Linked DNA regions of Neodiprion lecontei. The protein of the gene in region 1 purifies or fractionates together with the protein of each later gene. This does not show direct contact. Links are inferred from orthologs where the notes say so. Each region holds a gene or a part of one and is shown in the gene's direction. Other genes may lie near its edges.

Evidence for each region. Proteins that work in one complex are often made in the same cells at the same time.
Region 2: the proteins of peroxisomal biogenesis factor 19 (region 1) and peroxisomal membrane protein 2 purify together in Homo sapiens (affinity purification with mass spectrometry; 3 studies listed by BioGRID and IntAct, counting the BioPlex papers as one, with this or other methods). This does not show direct contact. The link is inferred for Neodiprion lecontei from reciprocal best matches to the Homo sapiens genes PEX19 and PXMP2.

The regions. Positions count from the first base shown.
Region 1 is NC_060263.1:34,408,523-34,414,423, forward strand, and holds peroxisomal biogenesis factor 19, read left to right. Parts: upstream 1-1,772; 5' UTR 1,773-1,984; coding exon 1,985-2,048; intron 2,049-2,564; coding exon 2,565-2,750; intron 2,751-2,803; coding exon 2,804-2,967; intron 2,968-3,124; coding exon 3,125-3,373; intron 3,374-3,486; coding exon 3,487-3,702; 3' UTR 3,703-5,180; downstream 5,181-5,901. Other genes in the region: hsp70-binding protein 1, read left to right, coding at 69-471, 704-944, 1,040-1,250; phosphoglycerate kinase, read right to left, coding at 5,181-5,461, 5,544-5,763, 5,860-5,901. UniProt on the Homo sapiens protein: Necessary for early peroxisomal biogenesis. Acts both as a cytosolic chaperone and as an import receptor for peroxisomal membrane proteins (PMPs).
Region 2 is NC_060266.1:5,732,765-5,740,524, reverse strand, and holds the start of peroxisomal membrane protein 2, read left to right. Parts: upstream 1-1,725; 5' UTR 1,726-2,010; coding exon 2,011-2,108; intron 2,109-2,405; coding exon 2,406-2,501; intron 2,502-4,837; coding exon 4,838-4,985; intron 4,986-5,062; coding exon 5,063-5,182; intron 5,183-5,385; coding exon 5,386-5,487; 3' UTR 5,488-7,760. Other genes in the region: THO complex subunit 6, read right to left, coding at 345-512, 644-871, 1,065-1,192. UniProt on the Homo sapiens protein: Seems to be involved in pore-forming activity and may contribute to the unspecific permeability of the peroxisomal membrane.

The DNA.
Region 1 (5,901 bases):
TTTTGAAATTAATTCTATTTTTTCATCAATTAAGGAAAATAAGCTTATATTTTCTTTTCTCTGTATAGCGACAAGCGTTCTTGAATCAAGCGTTGTCTTCTATGACTGTAAATGTGATAGAGGAACTTCAAAAGTCGATAAAAGTGTTGTCCAGTGCAAGCGAACTCCAGCTTGAGAATGAACCTTCCCAATACGATAATGCACTGGATGTGATCGCAAATTATGTCGACAACATGGACACTGCAAATGACTTTTACAAAATTGGAGGCTTCGCGATATTCGAACCCTGCCTTAATTCTAAGTACAGCAGTCACAGATGGAGGGCAGCTGACATTATCGCTGAGTTGACGCAAAATAATCCATACTGTCAAGAAAAGGTCTTGGAGTTTGGTTTGATGCCGACATTACTGCATATGGTAGACACAGACCCCTCAGAACAGACCAGAATTAAGGCCTTATATGCAGTTTCTTGTAAGTCCACATTTTTACATAATATGTCATCATTCTGTATTCATAAACTAATCAGAAACGATTCGAGAGAATTTATATCTACCATGATCACCGATACAGACAGATTTACTAATATTTGATTTTAAAAGTTGCCCTGCCTCATTCTTGCTGAAGAATAAATTGGAAGAATAAGTTCAGAGTATGTAATCAATTAACTGAGTTTATGTTGCTATCACGATGTTTCATCATTTAGGTCTGGTGAGGGAGAACCCAGTATCATTGACTCACCTGAATGTCAATGATGGCTATTCAGTTCTGCTAAGGGCATTGCAAAGTCCAATAGAAAAACTGCAGATAAAATCTGCCTTCCTGTTATCATCTTTATGTAGCAAAGATGGCAATCCCCATAATTTAAAGACAACTCTTGTTAATATGGGTTTGATCGAACAAGCGGCTGGTTTGCTGGCAATGCAAGGTCTTCATCCAGATACAAGGTACTAAATTCCGTTACTTCACTTACAAAATATTTCTGTCCGAACTGCTAACGGAATTAATATATATGGATTCTTCTTTTTGTAAATAACTCAAGGGACCAGCTATTGAGGGTACTAGCTGGATTGGCCAAAAATAACTACTTGCCAGCATTGAAGGAATGCAGAAGGCCGCAACTTTGCCTGAGGCAGACTCTAGAACGTCATCAACGTGAACTAAGGGCAGAAGAAAGTTTCGACGAAGCTGACATGTGTGCTCAGCTTTTAGATCAAATATTTTCAGATCATGAGACAAATCAGGAGAGATAGCCGATCTCTTGCGTGCAGCCAGATCGATGATCTGCCTAACAGAGTTGTAATTCTTGTTCAATTGTAACACAAAATATGTACAATAAACATAAATATTTATTTTTTTCCCTTATTCGAGTAACTTGACGTTTATAACTGTACGCTAATACAGATTACCACTATGTATATGAACAAATAATTTGTTGAATATGTGCAAGTACTTTATACAGATAAAATCCTGATATTGCCAACAGAGCGTTGTTGCAATCAATCATTCAATCGATAAGTCCGTCTGCCCTTAATACACCGTTGCACGTGCACATTCGCGTCTGGAGGCAATTAGTGACTAATGAATGTATCCGTTATGCGATAGGTTGATAATTTTTTGTGAACGACGATACCTATCGAATATTCCGTTATTCGTGATCCGAATAATGCAATTCAAGTAAAACTACGTAGGTATACGTGACCAAAGCGATCATTAAAAGTTTCATTAAATCTTACTCGAATCTGTATAAAAAATAAGGAAGGCAAGGAAAATAAGTTAATTAAGTTGCGAAAAAATTTTTCATCTGGTTATATGGGTTGAACTTTGTGCTGATACGCGGCATTGGTACGCCACGCGTCGCAAAGAAAGTTGTGATTCGGCCGCTGGAATTTAATTTTTGTAATACACTAAGCAGAAGCGCGCGAGGTCTTTAGGCTTGGGATTTATTTAATTGTTCGCGCGTGACGTAGCGGGAAGCAACTCGACAATGTCTGAGGATAAGAAAAAATCTGGAGAACCTGCAGATGCGGAATTAAACGACTTATTGGATAGTGAGTACTGACGCAAATTACATTTTCATTTACGGCGTAATCTCCGTTTGCAAAAATCAGCAACGACTTGGTGATGAAAAATTATTATGCACAAACATAACCTATAACCACTGAAACGAACAGCGTCTATAGCTGTTATTTTCATTATTTAGCGATAATTATGAAGTCAAGATTATTTATAACCTTCCAATGAAATTTCTGGCCACCAGATAATAGATCAAAATTTTATTTTATACAGTCTTCCTTTTTCAATAATTTTACTGTTATGTAATGTTAGAAATTGACCTAGAATTTTTGTCAATTGTTCCATAACACCTGCTTAGTCAATTGTTGTCTTGGTACAAAAAATAAAATGCATGCTTTATCCGTTTATTATTAGGAATTCGATATATGTAGGTCATCTTATCAATTTAATTCGGTTTAACCTTAGTTTTTGCAATTTTAGTACGCAGGTTTCATCAGATGTGAATTTTGAATTTGAAATCAATGTAATAGCAAACTTTTAAATTTTTCCAGGCGCTCTCGAGGATTTCAATCAGGTTCAAAGCGAAAAACCAAAAACCGATGCAACGGCAGTTGCATCGTCGGCACAATTGGAGCAGCCGGATGCCGCAGCTGGCGCTGAAGATCAGTGGACGCAAGATTTTATCAAACAAGCTGCAGACCAGTTCGAAAAAAACCTACAGAACCTGATACAAAATGGTGATAACTGAAGAAATAATTGTCGAGTTGTTATAACACAATTTATTGCATAGGTGATGATAACGATCTGGGAGCCTCTTTCCAAAAAATGGCACAAACTGTAGCCAGTGCTATCACAGGGGAAGGCGATCTTGGGAGCGAAAGTTCTCGCAGTGACTTTCAGTCAGCCATTTCACAAGCGCTTAAAGATTTGTCCAGTACGAGTCAGGATCTGCAGGTGATGTTCAACACTGAAGATAACCCTTGATTTTTGAGCACTTTTTTATATATTCAACTAAATCATATTGATAGAACACTAGGTTACATGTGTAGTATTTTATTTTCAGAATATTTTGCCACAAATTTTGATTTTTGATGTACACTTTTTGTAATAGAACCCGGTGCCAGGATTGGGAGAAGCAGATCTGGCTGCTATGTTCGGGAGAACATCTCTGGAGGAAGAGTCTGGCGAATTCCCATCTTTCATGCAAGGGATGATGCAGTCTTTATTGTCCAAGGAGGTTTTATATCCCACAATGAAAGAGTTAGTTGATAAATATCCAGTGTGGCTTGAAGAAAAAAAACCCACCCTACCAGCAGCTGATTTTGAAAGATACACGGAACAATTAAATCTCATGCAAAAGGTGTGCAATTTAATAATTGTCACCATAGGCAGGCAAACATTTTAACTGAAATTATAATGAGAGATAATATCAGAAACTGATGCGAGATTCATTTATGTGGTTCGCTTCCGTAGGTATGTGCAGAGCTGGAAAATGAGAAAGAAGACGACTCTGATGAAGTGAAAAAGGCTCGCTTTGAAAAGACATTGGCATTGATGAACCAAATGCAGAACTGCGGGCAACCACCAGAAGAGTTGGTCGGTGCTCCTGCACTTTTCAAGTGCGATGCTGAAGGAAATCCAGTTTTTCCACCTGGAGTTGACCCACCTGAAAACTGCTGCGTCATGTAAAAGTATAAAATTGTTACGTAGCCTTAGAAATGTCGCAATATGTTTGACAAAGAAAAAAAGATTGTCAAACTTCGTCAGTATCGATTTTCATAACATTGTTTTAATGAAATGGCCATTTTAAAAACTTTTATTCTCCAATAGTAAGATTTATTTGTTTTTTATAAACAAAGACCTAGATTGAAATGACAAAAATATTTCACTTCAGTAGTTGCCTTTACCATATTTTTTGATTTGCTGAGCTTCCATGTTTATTTCGCAACACTAGTGCCGACAGATATCTATAGCATATCTACAGTCATTTGCATTTTCAATGATAGATTACATAAAATTCTCTTTTCATCATTGAAATTAATATGATGTGGGGTAGTTGTTCGGTTAATTTCATGACTTTATTTCATTTGTGTGCACATCGGTTTGAGTATGGAGTACGTGATCGTTTTTCATGTAGCAACTGCCTCGCACAATTTTCTATGCGCCGTGCATAGGGTTTGTTTTCTTATTTTACGTGTATCTTACCTAAAATGCGGTGTAGGTACGTGTATACATGTATATACTTCGCAATGTTATGTACGAATTACAAACATAACGTTAGGGATGCGAAAATTCGACTTTGACAAGATTTAACACTTCTGGTCCAGTCACATCCCTACTGACAATACATGCATTATGCATATAGATGTAATATATAAGGAATAGGTCACCATATTATAATTTAAAAATAAAACCTAAACACGATCTGTGATCTTCACTAGCCACCTACGGGAAAATGGTAATTATAAGGTAATAATAAATATGTCCTTATACGCGTTACTACTTTTTTTTACAGATAGTAAATTTTTATTCTGTTATACTCGGTTCAGCAGATTTATTTCATCTAGGTACGTGTTAATATTTATTATACCCTTGCGCCACATGAGACATGGCTATGTTTGTTAGTCTGTTCATGGGACGGGTTTCAACATTTTTGTAAGTGCCATGAGTTAGATGTTTATACACATAAATTGTTATTTATTCATCGTTACAATGTTGTTATATTTAACATGTCCTCGAGATAAGTGAGAAGTCTTAAATTGTCTAATTGATCGCAGTGAACAGAGGTGGACAGCCAGAACCCTTAGGACTACTTCTGAGGTATGGCACATTTTCACTGTTACACGCGGTTGTCCTATTGATTGACATTCTTAGACGACTGGAGCTTCCAGGTCAATGTAAAGCTAGGTGATCGCATACAATATGCCAGCATAATTCACATGAATTTAGAATTAGAATCGTTAACTTTTATTAAATAGCAACATGATACATTTTGGTACAATATTCTTATAGAGATAAAACGTGACATCTAAAGAGATTACATAGAACTAAATCTTTATATCACGTTTCAGGAATCGATATTCTATATACACATAGTGGTTCAAACAGTGCTAATCTGCTCTGAAAAGTCAAGAGTTTGTGAATTGTACAGGAACCTTTTGCCCCATTTATGGGGCATCGGAAAGAGCCGCAACTCCTGGTAAAACTTTGCCTTCTAGAAGCTCCAAGCTGGCACCACCGCCAGTACTGACATGGCTAACTTTGTCTTCTGTTTGCCATTTTACTGCGCAAGTAGCTGTATCACCACCGCCGATTATCGTGATTGCACCACGCTGTGTGGCAGCAACAACACCATCCATCAGACTCTTTGTACCTTTGCTGAAGTTTTCAAACTCAAAAACTCCTGCCGGACCGTTCCACACGATTACCTTTGCTCGCTTCAGAGGTTCTGTAATTTGAAAGCCGTATCAATTTCGGATTCATCCCATAGCGAGAGTGTCAATCCCTTGTTGTTTGCTATTATTATTTACCAGCAAATATAGCCTGTGATTTAGGACCAATGTCGAGACCCAAAAGGCCGTCAGCAATGCCTGTTTCAACATCAGCAGTTCCAACAGTTGCGTTTTCAGCAAATTTATCACCCGTCAGGAAATCCACAGGTAAATGTACTTGTACGTTATTCTTTTTTGCTTTTTCCAGAAGGTCATTAACGATTTTTGCACCTTCTTCGTCAAAGAGAGAAGCACCAATCTGTAAAATCAGACCAATGAATACAATTGTTATTATTATTATCATCTGAGTCGCACTTCAATGTGATAAAAATCTACTGCTTTCTGATCACCGTACCTTCATGTTTTTCGTGACTTTCAGAAATGTGAATGCCATTCC
Region 2 (7,760 bases), on another chromosome or scaffold:
AAATTGAGATCGAAATGTTACTGTCGAAAAAACTTATTCACAAATTATAATGTTAGATTACATAGTTTTTTTGTTTAAGTTTTTAAAAATCGGATAATGTCTGAAATGCCTGTTTAAATTGATTGGATCCAGATGTACACTCCACAACCCACATTTAATACCAACTCTATTCTGTCTAATCTTGTAAAAGGCTACTTCTCAACAAGAGACTACGAATTTACCTCAGTTTGAAAATAACTACTTGCAATAATTGTTTCGTTTGATAATGAATGTGAGTATTCAAAATGACCCAAATGTATTATTTATTATGAAATAATCTCTAGATGTTAATAAATTTTACTTACAAAATTGAAAGAGCATGGATGAAATCCTCGTGACCTTCAAGTGTTCTGAGTAATTTTCCATCTTCTAAGCTGAACGTATATATCTTATTATCACCGCAACCAGCATGTAATATGTTGTCTTCGTGTGAAATTAGCATGTAGTTGACATCTGGCTTAACGTAGCTGTCCCTTAAATTATTAGAAAAGAGAAATAAAACCAGCTGAAAATAAGTGGAATATGTATGAACAAATGTAATTAGTTTCATCAATTTGTAAATACATGACAGTTTTAATAGCGTACTGTGCAATTTGATATTTACTTAACGGTTGGTATGTGAATCGTCCAGGAAACTTTAATTTTAGATACTTTATTGGAAGTCACAACCTTCCAGTCCCATCCAGATATTTCTCCTACCGTTCCGGTAATCAGAAATTTATCAGTTGCTATAATGCTGTGAACTTGTTGTTGTTTATACGCAGTGAATTGATAATTCGGCCCTCTTGGATCACAGTCATCTCCATGATAGGGACCCAGTACCTTAGACAACCTATTAGTGAATAATTTTCCAATTGTAAAAGTTGATGATGTTTGTCATCATCAACTACGACAATATTCGTAAAATCAAGTTTGTAAGATTAAAACCTATCACTATGGGTATGCTGTAAAACTATACAACTTAACCTGGCAGGTCGACGGATTATTGAATTACTTGAATTAAAAAATTAATCGTTTGTACTTACTCATAGACAGAAACGTCGCCATATATGTTCCCAGCTAATAAATAATTCCCATCGGCAGAAAAAGTTTGACATTGAACAGTGTTGTAAAATGATTTCTCGTTCATACCGCACGATTTTTGTTCTAGCATTCTTGACGTGAGAGCTTGAACGGAAGCAAATGAGGCTAGCCAAGCTCTACTCCACAATATTTACTCACTTGAAGTGTGCTTGAAGCGCGCTTGGATTTTTCAGCCACGAAGTAATAGTAACTAATAAGTGACTATAAAGAGGTGGATCGCCGGAGGAACAATATGGAATTGGAATAAGGATGAACAATTTTACCGACAGATTGCTGCAAACGCTCATCTCTAGATTTTAAAAACTGGAAGCTTATTACGGTTTTTCATTTTTCTCATTTCTCGCCATCCAAGCATTGTGATCAGTTGACTAAACTTTGCAAATCAATCAGAATGCTTGGATGGTCGGAAATGTAAAAAGTGAAAAACCGTAGCAAGCTTCCAAAATGGAAGGTTTCAATTATAGGTTACCGACGTACCGCCAACGGTTCTCATCGCATTTCATGTACGCAACACTCGTGGCCCGGCACGTTGCAATACCTACAAATTGTAGCTTAGAAATCTGAGACTTCTTCTTCTACAATTTACTGGTTCCTAGGTGAAAACTGACAGCACACGTTGACTGATGATATGCTATAGTAACATTATTCGTCTTGTTTATCCAATCATAGCCCTAGTCGAGTTAAAAGAACCCATAAGTTAAAAAACAGCATAATTGGAAATAAGTATGATTGAGCAGAAATAAGAAGAAAAAAAAGAAAAAAGTAAGATAGATAACGATACTAGAGACTAGACTCAAGAGACGATAGAGGTCAGAGACACTATACCGCAAGTAGAGATCAGTGAAGATTAAAGAAGATCAACCCCAAAAACAGCGATAACTCGTGACAATGGCGTTATCAAAATCTGTAGACATTGTTTACGAACTGGTTGGAGCTTATTTTCATAGTCTTTATTCAACTCCGCTAAAAACGAAGGCTCTTACGAGGTAAAAAATAATTCGTCATATTTACGACACACTTGTAATTTTGCGAGAAGAATTTTACGTCAATGAACACTTTTCGTATGAGTTGATTGTTTGATGATTTTCCGCGATATTTGAAAAATTTTTCATATTAAAACCAACGCATATATCTTTACTGTAAGACCTTTACTAGAAATTCCAGCAAATCAGGCAAAGTGAAAAAAAAAAGTAGTACCAACACCGATGTATCACATAACTCAGAATTACTTGTGTATCACAAGAGTTTTCTATTATTAGATGGTATGTATTTTTCAATTCCAGTTGCTGCATCGCAACTTTGGGTAATTATGTATCACAGAAATTATCCAGAGCGAAGCACCTCAATCACGATAGTCTGATTGCATTCGCTTTATTCGGGTAAGTTGCTTGGCATCATTTACGCATGTAAATTTCAATGAATATTTCACTATAGTATGTACATATCGATATATCAAGAGTTCTTTGAGTAAAAGATTTGTTGGAATGATTAAAAATCACAACAAATATTTACTCAGATGCCTTATTACCTAATTGTCTAATATTCAATCATCTATTTGTAACATGTTTAACTTACTAAAAATTTGTAAAATTTTCCAAATAAAAACAAGAAAAGACGAAAAATTTAATTTACACTGTTTTACAGATAAAGTTAATTACTATTCGCGATGCTCACGACCATTACCAATGCCAGCGCCAATTATGTAACGAGGTCTGCAAGGAGTCTCGACTCTCGGCAGTTCTCGCCAACAAGCCCATTGTTGTATGTGTTGAATACCAAAATATCACATATTCATTTGAAATTGTTCCAAATTTTCGAATATATAAACTCATCAAAATAGTTGAAGTATATGGTCAAGGTGAGGCAAATTTGATACTTTAACAAAATGTGTGTGTTGGCCGTGCAAAGTGTCTTAAGACTAAGAAACCAAAAATTATTTCAGCCTCGTGTTATAAATCAGCAATATTTTATCCTTTCCTCGCCAGGTATAAGAGACGAGTTTCAATTTAACAATTGCAACGCAGTTATTAAAAAAAAGCCGTATTCTTGTTAAGCCATCTTATCAAGTACAATACATGCATACATGGATGGGTATTTGGCTCATGATCGAAAGGTATGGGGAATTATAAGCATACTTTATATTTCGTGTGATACTTATCAACTATTGAGTTGCGATAAAACGCTCGAATTCTTTAGGCGAAAGGCATATTTTATCAATATACAATTTCATTTGATTAAATAGAGCAATATTTGAATTCCAGGAATTATATTTTCGAATTGGAGATTATGTATTTACCAGATCTGAAATGTGAATGGAATTCACCAAAATGAATGGTGTATCCAAGTTTTCTCCTGCTTCGTTGCGCTGAGTTTGCTGTATGGCATTAAACTCTACACAACTAGTACCAACTTTGGAGAAGGTCAATAATTTATTCAACACGCTTTGCAGCTTCAATCTAAAATCACTTATTTTGTAGCATTCAATAAGACAATGAGATTGGTGTTTATAACGTTGTTGCGGCAAATGTATGAACAAAAAATTTTATCGTCCCAATTATTCAGGGTTCATAGGGTATCAAAAAATGAGGATATAAGATTTCCTTTCAGGATATTTTGAGGATCTCAGTAGGCAATTCACTTTTGCCCCGCTGTTCCCACAACCTTCACTAATAATAGAAGTAACTTAATCTTACGTTAGTGTTGCGTTGACATTACAAATTTCAATCTCACGAAAGACTTGGCACACCACACATGTACCAAAAAATATCCATATATCGATGCTGTATCTTGAATTGTCTACAAAATGAACATAGCTACTGGTTTCTGATTTTTTTTTTACTGTAGAGTATTTTTATTCTATCCATAACATCTTATTTACTTAAAATCGATACAATCCTGTGTGATATTGTTCTAACTACATTCGATACTTTACACAATCATTTTCCGACATATACTGTTCTAATATCACTGAAATTCGCTTTGTTAATTATTCACGACTCCCACCTAAATAGCAATACGATTTACGGTCGGCAAAAGATTACCAAGCTTAGTTAACGAGTCACGATTTTTGCAAGTTTTCAATAATTTTTAGTCAGTTTTATTGTGTGCGTTGACTTTTAATTGACTATCAAAAGCCAAATGATAGTCGGCATGTCAGAAAGTGTACTGCCTGGGCATGTTGTACTATGGAACTTTATCTATCCAGACTCCTTGCAACAGTATCCGTTTCAGCTACTCAGATAATTAATCACCGTGTGAGCATCGCGAATATATTCTATCCGAAGACATTATTAAAATATACAGGCTATTCGTATTTAAATAACTCATCGAGATATTTTCAAAACTGAGATAGAAAAAAAATTCCTAACCAAAATTTGTAGGGTTTCAAAGGGTGCGTGTAGTTACAGTGTGACTATAATATTCTAAAGGCTTCCTATGTTTTCTTTTACCTTATAATAATACAAAACTCAAAGGTTTCTCCTTAATATAGAATTTCTCGATACTAACAAAATGATACCGCCTTTTTATTTTTGCGAATTTTTGTACGAACCTTCTTGTATTGGATTTCACGTAGTTTTTTACTCATCCCAACAAGTAGTCCAAAACAGGATGCTGTATACGTTTTAGTAAGAATGCGCGAACTTTGCAACGTTCGACTTAATCGTCGCGTTCAACACTGTGACGTGTATTATCTCGTTTAATTTTTTCTTTTTAGCTTCATTTTTGGTGGACCAGTGCCTCATTATTTTTACCAGCATATCCACAAGTTAACAAAGCATTCGCTTGGGATTCTGCTGATAGAGAGAATTTTGTATACACCATGTTTCCAAGTCTTGTCATTGTACATGCTCGCACGATTTGAGGTACATAATCCAATCTTGAATATTTACCAATAGGATATAGCGATGCATAATAATTAAATGTATTTACTACTTTTCAGGGAAAAACTCACGAAACATCCTACGCTCAGTTGGAGAAGTTATACTGGCCCGTTCTAGCGGCAAATTGGAAGTACTTAACACTGTTCCAATTTATCAACATAACATTCGTCCCACCAATGGTAATCAGATAGATAATATGAACTCAGAAAAATATTGATTCATAATTTTAACTACATACTTTCAAATCTTGCCAATAAGGAATACGTTATTAGAATTTTACAACAAAAATCGTTACATTATGTTACCAATTTATATAAATCCTAGTAATTAGCAAGTTCTAAAACCATATGTATTTGTTGATACAAGTTGCATTCTTTTACAGCTACGTGTGCTGGTAGTAAATCTGATTGGATTCTTCTGGTCAATATACTTGGCCAATAAGAGGGCAAAACAAACAGCCATGGACCGAGCGCGCAAGGAATAAGAGTTAGTCAAGTGACGATGGTTTATAAATAATATTATTTTTTATACACTTTTGTAAATGCAACGCATAAGATATGACATTTAATATATTGATCATGTCGCACCAAATATAGAGCGCTATTATTCCGTCTGCGACTTTATGAAAACTTAGAATAAGCTGTTATAGCTCACTAATGGCAATTATATTTTGCTCAATTATATTCCTTATATGTACATGAATATGATCCGTGTACTTATCGTTAGTATCGGACTGAGTGTAAAATGTTTCAGGGCACAAGCTAATTTCGAAATGAGAAATGACAATATTAATTGTTAAACCTATTTAAAGTGTTGGCCAAATTATAGGTATAAATAAAAAACAAAGCAATATTAAATCGGAGAAGGCGGAGAAATGAATTTCTTACCTTTACCATTATTGTCATTTTCTGCAAAGAACAATCCTGGTTGGTATTCCAACAGAGAATCCACAGCTAGAAGATCTTTCTTGTACCAATTAAGTTCCAGGGAATCCTGCAATGGCAACTAAACAATCAATAGCAGCTTGTTGACAGCAATTTATTTTTTTATCAAATAATAATGGCTTAGGGTTTCTTTTTCTTTTTTTTGAGCTAAAAGTTTTTTTGCTCAAGTATCGATTTTCTGAAGCCTCTTTTCATTAATTGGATCTTCCAGAATTCCAGAAATATCTCGAGAACATCGTAGGATCAACGGCTGGAAATATAAAACATGATTTAACGATTAGCAGGTTGTAATGAAGGGTAAAATTTGAAAGCATTTTGATTTAATCACACACAACAATACAGAGTATATTACAGATATAATCATCAGATATTTGCTTTAACGATTGTAACATTCTGAATTAGTAACTATTTTGTTTGTGAAGGGTTCAAAATCGGTAGCAATTTTCAAGTCTCATATTATTATTCTGTTTTGAGAACAGAGGATTGCAAAAATGTTACAGTATAAAAATGTAATACTGTAAAGCATTTTTTTCTAAACCATTTCTTTTTCTCAATTTAATCGGGAATTGGTCTTCGTAAGAATTCAACAATTAAAAAGAAATGAAATATTGAAATTTCGAAGCTACTCGAGCAGCCTGTGGAGGTATCGCTACCGTTTCTATTTGACTAGGCTAAATAGGATGAAGCTGTAGAATCCAAGTTTTTTCTAAAATTTCTCTACGATGCCTGAATCGACTCGCCATTTTATTTCACTTAAAATTAGATACTAGGTACGCGAAATTACTATTCATTCATTTATTTAAAATTTTTCGTTACTCATGTCATACTCAAATACACAATCACGAAGGCTTTTGGAAGAAAGAATTCTAAATTAGGTCGATATTTGCTCTGAATTATTTTTTTTTTCAAAATTAATTGCAATATTTACATTTTGAATTACAAAATTTGTTTGACAACTCTTTGAAAACATTTTGAAAAAACAAAAATTAAGTTCTCGTGAAAACTTCTTCGTAAATATATTGAATTTTTTTGAAAATTATCAGTTGATTTGTACGTCACCTATTTACGAATTGTTAATAAGGTATGTAGACTTCAACAGAGTTAATGGTTTCTTGAAAAGATAAATAATTATACCCACGATTGCTTAGTTTATTTTTTTGTTCAATGACCTAATTCAACAAGTTTTTTAGAGCAGTGAATTTGCTCAAATTTAATATTGGCGACATTTACATTTCTCTTGAAACGTTTTGAAAGCGATAACGAGCAATACCTACTCGCATTTTCAAGTTATTCGTTGCTGTAAGACGCACATATACGAATGATCAAAAATCCATCACAACAGACACTTCGTAATGATGTTCAAATATGAACATGCTTCCACCAAGTATAATGGAAGTAATATATTAAAAATACATTTCATGAATATTTGAAATAGGACTGGCACATTATTTTCTTCCTACGCACTATGCGAAGATTTGCTACCGCGGGTCACCAGTATTTCAGTGCAGGGTATTGACATCCGGCATAGAAGTATCGGGGTCCATTAGTGCAATAACAACTAAATATACGGTTGATTTCATTAATGCTAAATTAATTATTGGATTTCAATATAACCGTCAATAATGCACACTTTGCGCATAATATTAGAACCGATGGTACAACTGATGTGTTTTACGAGGGGGGGGATAAAAGTCGCACAACAATACCACGCGAGAAACTGAACCTCGGACATATCGAAAGGTCATTTGGCGAGGGCTGAAAAAACACTGTACTTCCCTATTTTTATTTTTTTCATAATGTTACGACAAGGCCT